Linked DNA regions of Rattus norvegicus. The protein of the gene in region 1 interacts with the protein of each later gene in a biochemical or structural test. Links are inferred from orthologs where the notes say so. Each region holds a gene or a part of one and is shown in the gene's direction. Other genes may lie near its edges. The genes, in order: Rad18, Pcna and Ube2a.

Region 1 (3,648 bases):
TCTCCACCCTCTTGCTTAATCTCCCTCCCTCCTTTGCCTGCCTCTTTTTCTTGATTTCGTCAGATCTAGCACTCTAACGTTAGACTTGAGTTAGAGTCTTCTTCGTCTTGAGCCTGCTGAGTGCTGAGATCATAGGCTTATGCTGCTACCCTTAGCCTAGTTTTTCTTTATTTTTTATCTTTTTTTTAGTTGTAGAAAAATTTAAATATACATGAAAGTATATTTAATGAGACAACCCTCTTACTTACCTTATATTTAACTTTTCCTATGAAAATGGAATGTAATCTTTGTATTCTTTGTTCCTGGCTCTTGTTTTTGGTCTTACCATTGACTCAGGACATTTTCTGCAGTTTTAGGAAAGATGGCTGTGGTAGTTATCTGTGTCTTGTTCAGTATGGGGACTGGGGGATGTCTCATTTGTTGTCACTGTTGATTGATACTAGTTGTGAATTTTTGTTTTGTTTTTAAGTAGCATTTTATCAAATAGTTCTAGGCCTGCCAGGGCTTTAGTGAGACCCTGTACAGAAAAAAAAAGAAGAGAGAAGAAAGGAAGGAGGGAAAGAAAGAAACAGTGCCTTGATAAACCCAGACCAGCAGGAAAGAAAAACTATACTCTTTGAAAGTTAGTGCGTTTTGTTTTGTTCTGACAAGCAGTTACATTACCAGTTCTTTGCTTTTGTTCTGTTAAGAGTTGGTGCATTGTATTATTAGATTCTATTTTAGTTTTACACACATATATAACATGCATATAGATGTAAACACACGCATGCGTGCACATTTGTGTGAACACACTCTGCAGAGTGAACCCTTTTCCTAAGGTTCGGCCTCTGACATCTTGCCTCAGTCCCGAGGTCTCCATGAGGGTATCCGACTTTGGCTGGCCTAAGCAGAGCATCTTTCTAACACTGCCTCTGTTACCTGTTCACCAATGTGTTTCCTACCAGGCTCCCTCCCACATGCCTAGCACATTGCTCTCTAGTTCTCATCATCTTTGCCCCGAATTGTGCTCTCTTCTCCCTGGTCAGGGAGGTGACTTTTCCTGCTTAGATGTCAGTTCAACTACAAATCCGAGAAAGTGCCTCCAGGTGAAGATGTTGGGTCAGTGTTGGTCACCTCATTTGTCTCTCCTCCCAGGGGCCACACTTTTGTGTGGCTTGTGTTGTAGTGCTAACTCTTATTTCATGTCTTTCTCCAGATTTTACTTAGCTGTTGAGGAGTAAGTCTCATGTCAGCAGCTAGAACCCAGTATCCTCTAAAGTCCTAGTAACCGCCTTTAGTTCTGATTTATCGCTTTATTTCTCATTTTAAAAGAAACGGTTTTAGTTTGGTTGTGATTGTGACAGAAGTTCTGTGTTTCAGAGGAACTAAGTATTAACTAGGAAGACTTAGTGGTTTAATATACCTTGGCATCTTCTTTACCTGTTGTTTGTTTGTTTTGTATGTTTCAAGGACTCGCCTGCTGCAGTTTGCCTTAGAGTCACCACCTATATCTCCTGTGTCTTCCACCTCAAAGAAGGTTGTAGTTAAGGTACATAATGTTGAAGCCACCCAACACCCTGTCAAACAGGGGAACAGGTTAATGGATAAGTTCCTGATTAGAGAAACTGGTGATTGTGTATCCGAGTTGTTGGGAAAAGAAAATGAGAGGAAATTCAGCCCTCAAAAAGAGATAAGCACCTCTGCTGATATTAAAGAGACAAGTCTCCTAGGAAAGACGGCACTTGGTCTCTCGGATGCTAATGGTCCTGTGACACCCTCTACATCCACTCTGAAACTGGATACTAAAGGTAGGAAGTCGTTTTTATATTTGCCTTTTATACTTAAGGAAGCCTCACTCATGTGGTATGAGATTAATAGGCAGCACTTTTAAGGGAGAGTAAGAAAGACTAGACGGGGTTTCACCTCACCATGTCTCAGGCATTGATGCAGGCCATGGATAGGGGCCTATTTTATTAGTTTATAGATTAGCAATCAGAATGATTATTGCCTAATAGTTGTAGAGTAAGTCTTGTATCAGCAGATAGAACCCAGTATACTTGTGGTAGCTTTCTGTTTTTAGCTTGGAATCCTATCACCTCATCTAGTTCCAGTTAACCCTTAAAGAGGCCTTCATTTTATACCACTGGTTGAACGTGTCCTTGCTGTTCTGCTTATAGCTTAAGACCCTTTGGCATATGACAGTACTTCAGGGAACCTATCTTATTTCCTGGCTCTCCCAGAATGTCTTGATATCCCACTCTTCTGCAGTATACTCACAATGGCAGAATAACTGAAGCCTGGCTAGATGTGCTGCCTGTTCAGTACATACCGATTGCCTGGTACATGCACTCCTCCTTTGTTTATATATTAGCTCAGGTGTTTTCATGGTGCAGTGGTACAGAGTGGCCTAATGGTGACAGAGCCAGAATGGAAACCCACAACCAATCTCTGTGACCTTACCTTTTACAAAGAATGTGTGTGTTTAGCAAACGCATACAGCCCCCAGTTGAAGGCCAGTAGTGTTTACTGGAAAATTGAAATTAGCTTATTAGTACTTATATTTTTAAGGTTTATTTTATCACTTTATATTTTTGATTATGCGTATCAACATCTCAGCCTGGAGATCGCTCCATCTGCAGTTTTTGTTGTGTTTTTATTTCACAGGGATATGTTTTCAATTCTTGTAGAATTTTTTTCTTTTTTATCCAAATAAAATCTTAGAATGAACCATCCCATGTAAAATAGATACAATTCTCTGTGTTCTATTAAAAGTAGGGAGTCTGGAGACTGGTGCCACAAGCCTTCCTTCTTTGGCCACTGCATTTTAATCCATGGTGGTGTGCAACTCCACAAAGCTGCAGCTTTAATAGCATGCACTTGGCCTGGGAGCAGGGCGGTCAGTAGTTCAGCCAGACCGTAAGAAGCCAGCGAAGCCTTGGTTGCGCATAGGTGGGACCTCATTAGAGTTGCTGAGATTGCTTCTCCTGTGTAAGGTGGTCCTAGGGCCTGGGGAACCCCAGCATTATGGTTTCCTAGCACCTTGTTTCTAGTCAGCTAACTCCCAAACCTAATTGTAGTCTCCAGGCCCAGGATTCTGATCATGTGACTTCCCAAAAAGTAGCTAGTTCCTAGGAACCAGTTTGCCTGCCTCCTTGCTCTTTTTTAAAGAGTGTATCAGCTGGGAGTCTGTCTTTTTTCTGAAAGATGTCAGTTTGTTAATTTTTACCCTTTCTGTGGCTAATAAAGTTTCTCCCTTTCTTTTAATGCAGTGTCTTGTCCTGTTTGTGGGGTCAGCATTCCAGAAAATCACATCAATAAGCATTTAGACAGTTGTTTATCACGGGAAGAGAAAAAGGAGAGCCTTAGAAGGTGAGAAAGCTGGGCCCAGCCTCTGGCCTGCCTTTGCATGATGCCTCTGTGCTTGATAGGTGTGGGTCAGAAGCAGGACTCCTTTGTCCTGGGGACTTGCACTCCGCTTTCCTTCCTGCGTGAGTTTTCCTTTAATGCTGGTTTCCTCTCCATCCTCCTTTTCTTTCTTCAGCTCACCTCTGCCATATGTCAGTAGCAGATTAGCGCTTCCCACTGCTACATTATGACTTAGAGAAACTAGAGACTTAGAATTCATTTATCTTTTAAACTTTCTTTTTAAAGTTCTCAAATGGTCATGCA
Region 2 (3,748 bases), on another chromosome or scaffold:
TACACATGATATGTGGTTAATATTTTCATACGTAAACCATTCCTTTTTCCCCCTTCGTGTCAGTCTTGGTAGATAGTCCAAGCTGAGTTTAAATCTAGGCCCTCCCACCTCAGCCTTCCCATGTGCTGGAATTAGCTGTAAAACACTCTTACCAGCTAAAACAATCCTTTTAACTTTCTGAAATTTTATATGTCTTATTAGTAAAAAAAAAAATGCAAATAAATAAAACATCACACACCAAAAGTTGTGTCTACAGTTAGAAGAGGCATTCCAAATGGAAGCTGGAAGTTTTACACTTCCACTATCAAATATATTTTATCTACCACCAAAACCAAGAGAAAAAGCATTAGAAATAGAAATCATTTATATCCTTTTGTAAATGATGCCCATTACCTACATTCAGTTCTTCTCCATCCTCATAATCAATAGGAAAAAGAAGTTTTAGTAGAACAAAATGCTGCAGCCCAGGGACATATGAAAGACGCTTCACCTGCAACAGCTAATATTTTCAAGATGGGGCTCAGGCTTGGGTTCATCTTAAGCCTAAAACTAAGATGAAAATACTAATATCTACCTTTAAAAATATAAAAGAAACCAACCATACAGGAAACTAATTACGTGGTACACATGAACTATATATCTTTGCAGAAGCGTTCGCGTTAAGAGGCATTTTTTTTTTTAAATCTTTAGGGAGGAAAGTTCAGAGCGAAGCACCCAGGTAAGTGTTATGAAATTGGGGAGTGTTCAGATAAGATGGCCTCTTTATTACTCAATATTTTGCGGCATATTTTTTACGCAGTAGTAAAAGAAACGCACTCCACTGTGTTTGAAGGAACTACAGTCTCCCTCTTCAAGGCAGGCCGCCGCGCACTGCAAGTGGCTTTCATTTCCGTGGCGCAGAAACTTCCTAAGGAACATGGAAACCACAGCCTAAGCTCCCTCCAACACCGGCGGTGACGACAGCCTACGCGAACCCCGTGATGCCCCTCGCCTCCCACGCTCTTACCGCACAGCTCCGCCTCTGTATACGCGGCGGGGCGGGCCTTGCTCAAACCACGGATACGATTGGTTCTAGAGGAGAGGTGGGTGGGTCAGCGCTGTGACGCCACAACCTCGCGCACTGAAAGAGCGCGCGCCTAGGAAGCCGCGGCATTAGACGGTTGCGGGCGCAGGTGACTGGTTATCGTCCCTCCTGGTCTTCACGCTACTTCTGCATCGTGAGTCGGGGTACCTTGTCAGCAAGACCTCGCTCCCCTTACAGTAACTCTCATCTAGACGTCGCAACTCCGCCACCATGTTTGAGGCACGCCTGATCCAGGGCTCCATCCTGAAGAAGGTGCTGGAGGCCCTCAAAGACCTCATCAATGAGGCCTGCTGGGACATCAGTTCGGGCGGCGTGAACCTACAGAGCATGGATTCGTCTCACGTCTCCTTAGTGCAGCTTACTCTGCGCTCCGAAGGCTTCGACACATACCGCTGCGATCGCAACCTGGCCATGGGCGTGAACCTCACCAGGTGAGCGGGTGGCGGGAGCTGGGCCCCATCCCTCCCGCTTCGGCTCTTGGCGGGGCTGTGTTCCTGCACTCGCATTGGCTGGCATGGCCGTCCGCGCTTTCTGATTGGCCTGTGGTGCCGGGGACATCACCCACCAAAGCGCGCGGTTCCGAAAAGCCCGCGCTGGCTGTCGCGCCTACTTTTTTCCCGCGCCAAAGCCACAAAGCGGTAGTCAGCGGGAAAATGCGTGCTTCCGAGCTGCGCTCATTAAGTGCCTGCAGCTTTTTCTGGCCGATTTTAGCGCCTAATAAGCGAGTTCTGGTGAAAAAGGACTGTCGACTTAGAGTCTTAGAGTGACGATAGGCCTTTTCTTGACTTCTAGAATCTCACTGCGCGTCATGGATTTGCAGGAAAATCTCAGTTTTAGCTTTTAACTTTGCTACAACTACCTGTGTTAGTGCCTCCTGTATACATTTCAAGGACAATATGTGACTTATTTTGGTACAGATATATGGATTAGTGTCACTTGTATACATTTTGAAACATTTATGAAAAGGCCAGACGCGATAGGGCACACTCTCCAGTACGCTGAAAACCGAGGACACCCCACTAAAAAGGATGCGTTCTTGAATGTTGGCTTTTAGTGCATTTTACTAAATCGATTTTTAAGGATCACATATACCCGATAATTTGCTTAACCTCTGAGAGGGTTCGGGGTACCCTTATCCTCCCTAACAATTCTCCAATCATGAATGTGAAATATAAATTTAAAAATGTAAATGTGGAGACATGATGTTGATAAGCCCTGTGTCCTTTTTTTTTTCTAGCATGTCCAAAATTCTAAAATGTGCTGGTAATGAAGACATCATTACATTAAGGGCTGAAGATAATGCTGATACCTTAGCACTAGTATTTGAAGCACCAAGTAAGTTACACCCTTAAAACTCAGTTGCTACAGAAATTAAAGTGTGCTGTTTCTGTTTCTCACAATTAAAAACAACAGGGTTGTGGTAAATTTACAACATAGATATGAACATGTGCTTCAGTAACACTTGGATTTCTTTTGGTAGATCAAGAGAAAGTTTCAGACTATGAGATGAAGTTAATGGACTTAGACGTTGAGCAACTTGGAATCCCAGTAAGTATCTTGTTTCTGATGGTGTTTTACCAAGCTGTGATACCAGCTGATGCATGTTCTAAAGTGGAGTTGTGGTGTTTGCCATTTCACCAGACCACAACAGCCTAAACTTGATTGAGTTGTAAAGACATCAGAAGTCTTGTGTTCTGAGTTCTAGTTAAGGTGCTGAAACTTGAGAACATGAAGCTGAGTCTTCCTCTTTTCTAGACTGACCTTTAACCTTGCATTTACAGGAACAGGAGTACAGCTGCGTAGTAAAGATGCCATCTGGTGAATTTGCACGTATATGCCGGGACCTTAGCCATATTGGAGATGCTGTGGTGATCTCCTGTGCAAAGGACGGGGTGAAGTTTTCTGCGAGTGGGGAGCTTGGCAATGGGAACATTAAGTTGTCCCAGACAAGCAATGTTGATAAAGAAGAGGAAGCTGTAAGTAGCAAGAGGTGTCGTCCAGCTAACTGTGTCTGAAGCAGGATTGCCGGCTTAGCCATTAAGCCTTGACTTCTGTTTGTTTATTCATTCTTTCATTTTGAGATGGCATTCTGAGTAGACCAAGCTGGCTTGGAACTCAGATGATGCCACATAAGCTTTTACAGACAGGATTTGGAAAGCTAAGTGTACAACCTTTTGCTTCCTGGAAATACTCTTGACAAATCAGTGAGGATTAGCAAGTGAACGGAATGGTTGGGGGTGTAAAAGTCTTGGGATCATGTAGCTCCTCTAATAGCTTTTATGTGTTGTAGGTTCAGTTACTAGTTCATTTAATGGTGCAAAAGCAGACTGAGCAAAGTTAGGTTGTAATTTAGGCCTAGCTACAGGCAACAGGACTCAATACAATAATAAGAATATCCACAGTACCAAAGGAAATAAGACTTCATGCAACTCGGAAAGAGTTGCATTGAATACTCTGACATTTTATGTGCCTAGAGGAAGCTGGACATGGTGGCTCAAACCCATAACTGTGACACTCAAAGCAACAACAGGATGATTCTCAGTTTAAAGTCTACCTTGCAGAAAATGGATCTCAAAAAATGGGGAAGAAATTGGGATGGCAGGGGAAGATGCTTGGCAAGCCCTCATTCAAGCAGAACACACTAGTTCTCTTAATTCCTAAGTA
Region 3 (3,748 bases), on another chromosome or scaffold:
GGACCCAAAGTCCATTTTCACACTCAAGAGCCATTTATTTATTTATTTATTTATTTATTTATTACTTTCCCCATGATTCTGAGTAGTTACCCCAGCCTCTCGTGTCTGCAGGACCATGACCCTAACATCCTTGCCTTTTGAGAACTTGTTTGCCTGTGCCAACTCTTTCCCCCACTCTCCTGTTTCAACTAATCTTCTCTCCGCTCCTCTTTCCCCGATCCTAGACGTAGTTGGCAGTTTAATAAATCATGCCTTGTCAAAACCAAAGAAAGGTTAAGGCATATTCCTGGCAGGCTGAGGTGACCTCAAGGCCCAGCCTCTGGGATTCACAGTGAGTTTGAGTTAGCCTGTATTACATTAGATACTACAAGAGACCAACCGTACAATCAATCAATCAATCAATCAATGAAGGTGGAAGAAGCAGGGAGCCAACAACAAAACAACAAGTAATTAAAAGATTGGTATGGTGGTGCACTCTTGTAATCCCAGCATTTGGGAGGTGAAAGCAGGAGACTCAGGAGTTAAAGTCATGCTCAACCACACAGTGAGTTAGAGCTTCCCTGGCCTACAGGATACCTTGTTTCAAAAGAGGAAAAAAAGAAAGGAAAGAGAAAGATTTCCTCCCCCACGACCCCCCCCCCCCCAAAGAAAGTAAGTAACTATAAAAAGAAAACTTCGCAGGGGTTCCTCTTCAAATCCGCAAGTGGAGCCCATGCGTTTCCCTTTTAAATTCCCGACAGTTGAAGGCTGCCTTTGCTGCCCGCTTAGCCTTTCCCCTCGAACTTGACCGCCACCGCCCCACGGTCCTGGATTGGGGCTCTCAGGCGGGGCGTGACTGACAGAACAACTTTGGTCCTCCCCCGCCCCGTAGCCGACTTGGTACAGTCCGCCCGGCGTAAGGCGTTCCCCCCCACCCCACCCGCGCGTTCTCCTCAGGTTGGTTCGGCCCCCGTCTACTCAGGGGTGGTGCTTAGCCGGCGCCAGACCGACCCTCGGCTTCGGAGAGGTAGTGCTGTTCCTCTCGGTGCTCCCTCGGCTTCGGCTTCCTCCGCTTCCTCAGGGACCGCGGACCCTGGTATATGCCCTACCTCTGACCCTGCTAAAGCCATGTCGACCCCGGCCCGGCGCCGCCTCATGAGGGACTTCAAGAGGTAACCGGCGTCGGTTAGGGAAAGGCGCTTGAGGGGGCTGCTTGCCCGGGGCACAGGGCGGATCCCGAAACGGAACGGCTCCGGGTGTGGTGGTGAGGGGGGCCGGCCGCGAGTCCCGGGGCTGAGGGGAGCCGCTGTGTGTTTCTGAAGGTTACAAGAGGATCCTCCGGCTGGAGTGAGTGGAGCCCCGTCGGAGAACAACATAATGGTTTGGAACGCGGTCATTTTTGGGTGAGTCTGCGGTCCGGCCCTCGCCGGGGACTCAGGGGACCGGGGCCGGCCCCTCGATGAGCCGCGGGGGGAAAGGGGAAGATAGTTGGGGTTGTTTGGGCCTAGGCGCCTCCCCGGAGCCTCTGCCTCGATTAGCTCCGTTCTCGCTGCCAGGGGAACCGTTTGGGGTTCTAGGGGGGCGGGGTGGGGAGCGGTGGCGGCCTGCGCTGCCTCCAGAGCCCCGAGGGGACAGGGGTGGCTTCCCTAACACCGGACAGCTGTGCTGGACGGAGGGCAGGGATGGGAGACCTTGACAGAGCCGCCTCTTCAGAGGCTGCGGGAAGGTGTGGACCCCCTTGGCTGGTACTAACCGGTTCTTGTTTTTGTTTTCCTGTGTTGCAGGCCCGAAGGGACCCCATTTGAGGATGGTAAGAGAGTTTCTTAGCCCACCTTTCAGGAGCCTACTCACCAGGGAGAAGGGGGTCCCTGGCATCAGCAAGCATCCCCAGCTTAAAGAAGCAGCTTTGCCCTGCCTCTTCTGCCCACCAAAGGCTCAAGTGAAATTCAGTGTGTGGCAGGTTGTTCTGGATGGTCCTATGCTTAACTAAAACTGCACTTTTCTGGGTTTTTTTCCCCCTCCGTTTAATATATCCTGGGTGAAAGTAGTCACTTTTTAAAAGAAGTGCCACAGTGCTGGTATTCAGGATTTTGGAGGTTCGAGCAGTGTTTCTGCTAACTTTAGCCCCCACGGAGATAATTCAATATAAAACCGGTCCACCAGAGACCATCTGGTTCACTATGCGTTCCATCCCGAGGGCAAGAAGTGTGTTCAGCAGTACTTAGTGTGTGCTCTGTTGAGGGCTGAATGAATGCTTGCAAGATTCCCTGACATACAATTCCCTGGCTTCAACAATATGATTCAGAAGGCACATCAGCCTCACTTCTTTAAAGATGTTCTTACATACTTAATTTCAGTATAATGTTGTTCCTTGATTTTAAATTCATTTACAGTGTGTGCTTTCGTTTAGATCTTCTAATTGGTAATCTCAAAGCAACTTCAGAATTGAGATTTGTCTCACAGTAGTACCCAGTGTCCAGCCTACTTGAATGTTGAGTTTGTATCAAGAGGTGCATAACAAACGAGTTAGGCTTAACTTTTAAAAACACACGTTAAGGTCTCTTCAAAATTTGATATATTGAATGCTGCCGTGGAGTCTTATGCCATTAAGTTTTGCGCTTGGAAGGCAGAGCAGGCAGAGGCAGGCAGCTCTCTATGAGTTTGAGACTAGTCTGGCTTACTGTAATTTCAGGCCAGCCAGAGTTACATAGTGAATCCTTGTCTCAAAAATAAAGCAACAAAGAAAAAGCCCCCTTCTAATTTGACATAATTACAGATTCCTGTGCAGTTGAAATAGGTACTATAACAAGTCTATGTAAAGCCTTACTCCAGTCCCATTACCTATTTGGTAATGTCTTGAATGACTACAATAGCAGAATCAAAATGGTCAGTGATACAGTTTTATATGCATAAACCAAATTGTGTGTGTGTGTGTGGGGGGGGGTTGAACCTTTTAAAGGTTTAATTCACTTAAAGGATGATTAGAACTTTCTGAGTTCATGAAATTCTCTGGAATTGGGGGTATTTTAGTAACATACGAATGTGCACAGATACATAGACACATTCACCTTCAGTTTGAAGGTGATAACAGAAACATTTCTAAAACTACTTTTTTTTTTGGTTCTTTTTTTCGGAGCTGGGGACCGAACCCAGGGCCTTGCGCTTCCTAGGCAAGCGCTCTACCACTGAGCTAAATCCCCCAACCCCCTAAAACTACTTCTTATATATGTTGCTGACTCAGACTGCTTTTACTTACTGCTAGTAACCAAACGCTGTGAGGTAAGTCAAAATCAGCCTCGTCTGGAATTTGTCTCAAATACTTAAGATAGTCTTTGGAAACCATTGATAGTTACTAGAATACTGTTAGCTTTTACTCTATCTCACTGGTTAGGTAAATGTTACCTGCCGCAATAAAAAGAAATGACAGAGGACTGAGTGATTCTAGGGCACACAACTTTGGTGAATTTAATGTAAGAGCTAGTCAGTGAAAGAGCTAATTAGACTTAACTTTTCTCTACTATATCGAGATATATATAGTTTTGTTTTTTGAGACAAGGTTTCTTTGTGTAGCCTTGGCTATCCTGGCACTCTACTCAAGAGATCCATCTGCCTGTGTCTTGAAAATTCTAGAATCAAAGGTTGTGCCAAGTCTTTTTTTTTTTTTTTTTTTTGGTTCTTTTTTTTTCGGAGCTGGGGACCGAACCCAGGGCCTTGAGCTTCCTAGTTAAGCGCTCTACCACTGAGCTAAATCCCCAGCCCCGCTAAGTCT

The links.
Region 2: of the proteins of Rad18 (region 1) and Pcna, one has a biochemical effect on the other in vitro, tested with the Homo sapiens proteins (21 studies listed by BioGRID, with this or other methods). The link is inferred for Rattus norvegicus from reciprocal best matches to the Homo sapiens genes RAD18 and PCNA.
Region 3: the proteins of Rad18 (region 1) and Ube2a form a complex in vitro, tested with the Homo sapiens proteins (12 studies listed by BioGRID, with this or other methods). The link is inferred for Rattus norvegicus from reciprocal best matches to the Homo sapiens genes RAD18 and UBE2A.

Annotation. Positions count from the first base shown.
Region 1 is NC_086022.1:147,359,851-147,363,498, reverse strand, and holds part of Rad18 (E3 ubiquitin-protein ligase RAD18), read left to right. Parts: intron 1-1,449; coding exon 1,450-1,787; intron 1,788-3,248; coding exon 3,249-3,348; intron 3,349-3,648. UniProt on the Homo sapiens protein: E3 ubiquitin-protein ligase involved in postreplication repair of UV-damaged DNA. Postreplication repair functions in gap-filling of a daughter strand on replication of damaged DNA.
Region 2 is NC_086021.1:139,953,305-139,957,052, reverse strand, and holds the start of Pcna (proliferating cell nuclear antigen), read left to right. Parts: upstream 1-1,232; 5' UTR 1,233-1,294; coding exon 1,295-1,515; intron 1,516-2,321; coding exon 2,322-2,419; intron 2,420-2,564; coding exon 2,565-2,632; intron 2,633-2,865; coding exon 2,866-3,060; intron 3,061-3,748. UniProt on the Homo sapiens protein: Auxiliary protein of DNA polymerase delta and epsilon, is involved in the control of eukaryotic DNA replication by increasing the polymerase's processibility during elongation of the leading strand.
Region 3 is NC_086039.1:120,979,115-120,982,862, forward strand, and holds the start of Ube2a (ubiquitin-conjugating enzyme E2 A), read left to right. Parts: upstream 1-969; 5' UTR 970-1,107; coding exon 1,108-1,151; intron 1,152-1,301; coding exon 1,302-1,382; intron 1,383-1,763; coding exon 1,764-1,789; intron 1,790-3,748. UniProt on the Homo sapiens protein: E2 ubiquitin-conjugating enzyme that accepts ubiquitin from the ubiquitin-activating enzyme E1 and transfers it to a E3 ubiquitin-protein ligase. In vitro catalyzes 'Lys-11', as well as 'Lys-48'-linked polyubiquitination.